2 separate regions of the Mus musculus genome follow, and region 2 is reported to be linked to region 1. Evidence: microRNA targets listed by miRTarBase, many of them from high-throughput screens and not tested one by one. Region 1 holds a microRNA gene; the other region holds the end of a gene's coding sequence.

Region 1 (3,406 bases):
CCAATGTGAGTGTCAAAGGGGACAGGAGCCCCAGAGATTGTGTATGACAGCGCTTCGATCCTTAAAGCCTCCCTCCCTCTTGTCTACTTTACGTGTGCGTGTATGGAAGCTAGAGCACAGCTTTCAGGAGCTGGTTCTTTCCTTTCACCACTGTGGGTCCTGGGGACTGAACTATGGTTGCCAGACTTAGCAGCAAGCACCTTCCCTTCCTCAACTAAGCCATCTCATCAGCCCTTGTGTCCACTTCAAAGATAAGGAAAGTAAGACTTGGCATGGGGGCATGCAGAAATAGATGTGTTGGGTCTATGTTCACTAACTATAACAGAGTGTAGAACAGATGCAGGCAGCTAGGGCACAGAAGGGTCCCCTGCTTCTAGTTTGTGTCCCTCTTGAGCTGCCTGTGTTGGCTATATGTAGCTCACCTCGCTCGTCTGTTCTCTGAGTATGGAGGACAGGCGTGTAAGATAGCTATGCTCTGGATCACCGTCTCATACTATCATTGGGTCTGTGGGGTTTCAGGAAGCCTGAAGCATCAGTAGCATGTTGCCATCAGTGTTGAGGAAGTGACCTTGGTGCTGGAGGAGAAGGCAGCTTTTCTCTCCTGGGATGTAAACTGCAGATGAGCCAGTACTACTTTAAAGGAGATGCTCTGAGATTAAGGGTCCCCATGCAGGGCACCCTAAAAAGTTCAGGCCTTTCCAGAGACCTTCATGTAAACTCCCCACAGAGACCATGTCCTCCTCTCCTATTAGCACTGTCACATGAGTGGGTGATGAGAACTCCTGCTTTGTAAGGAGAGGCATTTCAAGCTGCTGGAGTGATTTTTCAACTGATAAAGAACTTGCACAATGTCTTGTGTTGCACTCAGAACACCCCTGTGAGGTAGGTGTGACAACCCATTTCACAGATGGAAAAACAAATTTAGAAAGGGTGAGTACTTTGCAAAAGAGCTGGAGAACAGATCTATCTTGTGGGAGGTATGAAGGTCTCTGTGCTCACAGATAAGTACTAGGGAACCAGGAATGCTGAACACACAGAGTTGTCCCTTCAAAGGGAGGGACACATAACCTGTTATCTGCCCAGAAGGTTGGGAGCAAACGTGGTTAACAGCCTGGTGACCTCTGTGCTATCTATGTGGCCGAGACCACACAGGATCCTCCCCAGACTCTTACTGTGAGCTTGTCAATCTACAGAACTCATCTTTATGGAAGATGTCACACGTACTTTACAAAGAGTTTTGATGTAGTCACATCTTAAGCTTTGTTGTATATACAGGACTGAGTTAATTATCACCAGGAAAGCACCAAATTGTGCTGTGCTTAAATGTGCCTAAACTTAATTATTTGGGGTCAGACTCCTGAAGTTTGAACCAATAGTTAGGCATGTTGGACTGAACTGCTTTCTTATCTCTCACTCTGCTGGTCATGGCGGTTACAGAATCCGAATCGAAACCCCACACACTGCCCAGGTCTGCATCCACAGCTCCTTCCACAGCTCACACACATCACGGCCACATTCACGGGGACTTCACCAGGGCTGCTGCTTGGTTTGGGGTGCTGTGCTTCTTGGTTCTGGTGGTGCTCAGCAGGCCAAGGTGACGGGTGCGATTTCTGTGTGAGACAATTCCATTGACCATGTCCCTCAATCACAGATAGCACCCCTCACCTTGAGCCCATTTTCACAGATGGCAAATGGTGCTGGCGGTTCAGGAGCTTCATCGTGGTCTTCAGGAGAGGGTACAGAAGCAGGAAGCGAGGGGTATGTTTGCAAGGTGCACAATACAATGGAAGAACACATGGTGAACCCACTCGCTCACTCGCTCATGCATGCACCACAAACACTTGCATGTCAGTCTCTTAGGGTGTAGATAAATACAGATATGGAAGGCAACTTGCTCCAGAGAAACTCAATAACTGAACCCAGCCAACCAAGAGTCCTGGGAAGGATCCAGGTTCTCTGAGCATCTGGAGTGAATCCACATTCAGAGTGGTACATAAGAAATATCACAAGCAGGAGAGCGCACTACGCCAAGTCATAAAGTAAGTCAAAGGCAAGGTGCATTGTGGAGGGCTGTGCAGGTCATTGACGTAAACAGCACTGGCAGCCAGGCTGGATGGATGCCTGGCCCTTATCTGGAAAGGGAAGTCAAGGCGAACTTGTTGGTTTGTCCATACAGTCAGGAGAGGGACGGTAAATCTATGGGCTGAAGATGAGGGAGCTGGGAGGAGACCATGAGATAGAGTTCTCCTGGGACTTGGCCCAGCACACATCCCTTCCTCCCCAAACATGGTCTAAGGCAGCTGGAACTGTGTTAAGGACTTTGGGTTGTAAATGAGCTCCAGGCCTGCCACATCCCCAAGCCTTGTCAGGGTGTACCTGGCATCAGGTATCAGGCTGGCTTTTGAGGTTCTAGGGACCGGTCTTTAATTTCCACACCTGGCTGAATCCATGTGCTCGAATGTGCTGTGCCAAGTGTTACCGTGAGGATAGAGGCAAAAAAAATACAGTAACAGGGGCACACTGAGGAGAGCGAGGAACTATGGGGATTCTGAATTACGTCAGGCAGGTGAGGAGGGAGAAGGGGTCAGAGGTGGGGAAGGCCTAGCAGGAGCAAAGTGTGAAGGGGACTTGTGTATTGTTGGCATGGAGACTGTTACAAAGCTCAGGTTCTCTTAGTGAGGTGGGTAGACAAACACAGAGGGCCACTGTTTACAGTGTGGCCAGTAGGGGGCAGGGCAGATGGAATGAGCAGAGCCTGGAAACAAAGCCTGGGTAGGAAGTGTGACCTTGGCCCAAAAGGCACACCCAGAGGAAGCCATACCAACAGCCAACATCCCCACTGCAGGGGAGATGCAAAAAACAGTTTAGGAGTTCTATCTCTTCCAGGGAAAAGTTTCATAATTTCTAGCAAAATAAGGTTTGTGGGAAGCAAAACTGAAGCTGACTTCAAGAAGCTCTGAGGTTTAAGACTTCACCCAGGTTCACAGTGAGGAGATAGACCAAGCCTATTCACAGTGAATCCTAGAGAAAATGCTGGCCCCTGGTACTCCTCAGAAACAATCTGAAATCAGCCCAGCCTAATCTCAAGCCTGCAGCCTTTTGATCACTCATCCTCCTGCTCTGCTTCCTGCCCCTTTCCAGACCAAGTTAACATCCAGGATTTCCCAGGCTGCAACTTCTGGTAGCCAGTTCATGCTTTTAAAGGAGCCACTACCTCCACAGAGAGCTTGGACACACTATGTGGCTGACCCCTAACTTCAGGCTAAAGCTGTTCTGCCCTTATTTGTCTTCAAAACTCCTGTCATTACTATTTTTATCTTCATGATCTCATTTCTGATAGGTACTGCATTCTAGATGGGAAATTGAGGCTCAGGTCGTGCCCAAGGTCAGATGGGCTATCAGCAAT
Region 2 (3,406 bases), not on the chromosome of region 1:
TGTGTAGTAAGTTGCCCTGTGAGTAAGTTACTCACCCGCTCAGTGAGTCTTACTGTATGTGCTGGTGCACCTGGAATCCCAGCAAGACCAGCCTGGCCACACATCTGAGGCAGCTGAGCCATCTCCACTGTTTTCTGGATGGTTCTAACAGTCCAACTGAAATGCTTGGCTTAATCTGGGACTCAATGGGTAGCAGGTTGGACCATAGACCAAATTCACCACAACTCCATCAAAGCCACCCTAACCACCAGTTACATCTGCAGAACTTGACTGTAATGTAAGCAGAAGTCAGTTTCCTCTCTAACTCTGCTATACATAAAAGCGGCCCAGGCTTTCAGCTACAAAGGTGAGAACTGCAGACGACGTTGTCTTACAGAAAGAAAGGAAAGTCACTCCAAGCGAAGGCTGTTTGGGCACAGAGCCAGGTGGGTGAGAAGCCATGGTAATGGATTTATTCTTCCTTCTTTAAAAGTAGGTTAGGTCTGAGACCCAGAAGACGGACAACGGGCAGAAAGGACAGACTGGGCGGGCAGCCGCCACTGTTACAGCCCTCAGGAGAGACTGATAAGGCCTTGAGGATGAGTAGTCAGAGGGCCATTTGTGTCCTAATGTTTAGTTCTCACACTACCTTTGTCCCCTGCTGGTTTCTAGGTGTACTGTGAAATTTCTTAAGATGTGTCAGCTACCTGCACTGCAGAGACTGTTTGCTAATCTTCTAGCTTGCACTTCCCTAACAGAAATATGGAAAGTAGGGGCAGATCCCACAAAACCCTTGGATTTATGTTGTAGCAGTTAGCAGGTTTTGTTTACCATGGGACTACACATACTCAGATTTAAAAGAAGTTTACACACTAGCTCTTAGGGCTTCCCTCTGTCACATAAGCGTATTTTATTTTTGAGACAGGGTTTTTCTGTGTAGCTGTTCTGGAATTTGATCTGTAGATCAGGCTGACTTTGAACTCAGAGATCTGCCTGCTTCAAGTGCTAAGGGACTATGCCCAGTTCACACAAGCTTTTTTTTTTTTTTTAAAGGATTTATTTATTTATTTGATGTATAATGAGTACATTGCAGCTGTCTTTAGACACACCACAAGAGGGCATCAGATTCTATTACAGATGGTTGTGAGCCACCATGTGGTTGCTGGGAACTGAACTCAGGACCTCTAGTCAGTGTTCTTAACCTCTGAGCCATCTCTTCAGCCCCTCACACAAGCTCTTAATTAACCATTTGTATTCATCCAGCCCTGACTTGCTCACCTTGCAATCTGGGTTGTACAACTGAACCAGATGCTGTGTTTAGGGAAAGAAACATGACTCTGCCACTGCCTTGCCATGTCATCCCCTAGCGTTAGAGTAAGAGGTGGACCATAGGGTATTCATAACTACTGAATGCATCCCATATATTTAATTTTATTGTTATCTAACACAAGACTGCAGAACCTTTTATTTTGTTTTAATTTTTAGACAGGGTCATCACATAGCCATGAGTGGCTGTGACTTGCTCTGCAGACCAGGCTGCTCTGGGCCTTGACCCTATGACCATATTCCTGACACTGCATTCAGAACGCTGAATTACAGGCACTAGTCACTATGCCCATTCTGAGTTTGTCATGCTTTTGTTTTTTAAATTAAAAGGAGGTTTACTGGGAAGCTGAGTCAGGCAGTTTCACTGGCCCCAAGGATTGAGGCCAGGGGAGTCACCACGGGGAGTGGGGGAGACGAAGACAAGGAGAAGCAGCAGTATGCATTGATTTTGACAATACATGGCTGCAAGTAGCTACATGGATCAATTCATTAAGAACCTATAAAGAACTGAGTGGTGGTAGATAATGCTTTTAATCCCAACATTTAGGGAGGCAGAAGGAGGCAGATCTCTGAGTTCAAGGTGAACCTGGCCAACAGATCGAGTTCCAGGATAGTCAGAGCTACACAGAGAAACCTTGCTAAAAACCAACCAACCAACCAACCAACCGACCAACCATACACACCTGCGCATAACCCCCCCCCCATAAAAGTGAGCTGGGCGCAGTGCAGGAAGATCAATATTTTGAGGCCAGCAATAACTGTATATTGAGTTTGAGGCCAGCCTGGGCTACATAAGATCCTGTCACAAAGCACAGCAACTATGAAGGACCTGAGGAACATAGTGACATTTTGTCTGAGAAAATAACTTGTGAAAGAGAGGAAGGTGGACATTTGAAAAAAAAAAAAAACTCCTTTAAATGGAAGAAAACAGAGCTGGATCTGTGGAGACACATAGATACTTTCCTTTCTCTTTCATTTTCTTTCCAAGAAGAACCTAGACACTTTCCATGTTCTGTGCAATCAAATGGCAAGAAAGATCCAAGACTCTTGTTGGCTGACTGTTGCTGTATTCTGGCTGAATGGAAACACAGCAGGACCCCTGTGTTTCCTGAGGCCTGAGAGATTCCAGTGGGTGTGCGTGTGCAGAACCTGGACCAGGAGGCAGAGGCCATGGCAAGTAAGTATTGGCCACCTCAAACGCCGACAGGTAGCCATTAGCATAGGCTGAAACTTTGGTGAGAAGTAAAACATGTGGGCCTCACACAAGCATCTTAAGTGGATCTCAGAAGAAGTGCAGAAAGGGATGAAGAGAGTTTTCTGTTGAAATGTGTTAACTGGAATGCAGGGACACATAACCAAGCCCTTACTTTACATTCACATGTTAAACTTTCTGGATCATTAACGTCTCAGAATTAATGTCACTAAAGTTGTAGTAACAGATTATTCCACAATCCACGGTTCCAGATTTACATCCATTTAACATGAAGATGCCCTCGCTCACTGGCTGTGCAGTTCCCAGGGAAGCTGTGTCTAATCCCCAGAGACACTGACTACCTGCATAGCAGGGATGCCACAGTGGTGGTCACGAGGTCCTGCTGCAGATCTGTTCAATGTCATTCATCTCTTTGGGACAATCTGCAGAAAGGATAAGAGGTGAGTCCTGAGTCACCACTACATCATCCTCAATCCGAACTCCGAGCCCTCGGAACTTCTCTGGGGCATCTCTGTCGTCCTCTGGGATATAAATGCCTGAGAACAGAGGGGACTGTGATCAGTGACAGTAACCAGTGGATCAGAAGCAAGTTCACCTGTTTCAACTTCCTCATCTGTGCCTGACAGTTCTTCACTGCATGTACCTCAGAGCTCTGAGAACCAGATAAACTACCGCACACTGTAGAGCTGTGTACAGGAAGCTCGGTCAGATGGCTTTCATCAGCTAGGATTACTACTGCTGTAGCCATTTTGTTTAGTGGACTACAGGCTGCATTCAACTATAATACCAACCTGATTCTGTCATAGTCTAGTGGTTCAGGGAAGCCATTAATTTACAAATATATTATATATAAAGGAACCAGAAGATTATATAAATGTCTTTCCTTGC

What was found. Region 1 holds the annotated microRNA mmu-miR-342-3p (UCUCACACAGAAAUCGCACCCGU, at 1,598-1,620, opposite strand). A microRNA usually pairs through its seed, bases 2 to 8, with sites in the 3' UTR of a target mRNA and lowers its output. Matches are read on the target gene's strand: a 7mer-m8 pairs with bases 2 to 8, a 7mer-A1 pairs with bases 2 to 7 and ends in A, and an 8mer does both.
Region 2: miRTarBase lists Xpnpep3 as a target of mmu-miR-342-3p. Seed matches in the 3' UTR shown: 7mer-m8 at 2,563-2,569, 7mer-m8 at 1,204-1,210 and 8mer at 618-625.

The regions. Positions count from the first base shown.
Region 1 is chr12:108,656,894-108,660,299 of GRCm38, reverse strand. It overlaps Mir342 (microRNA 342), which reads right to left and starts at 1,680; the gene lies at 1,582-1,680. The region is part of intron 3 of Evl (Ena-vasodilator stimulated phosphoprotein); the gene reads right to left.
Region 2 is chr15:81,452,513-81,455,918 of GRCm38, reverse strand. Xpnpep3 (X-prolyl aminopeptidase 3, mitochondrial) reads right to left here. Exons shown (of 10, transcript NM_001347075.1): 10 at 1-3,054. The coding sequence ends at 2,888. Among named protein-coding and RNA genes, the nearest start is that of Rbx1, 12 kb to the left of the region's middle.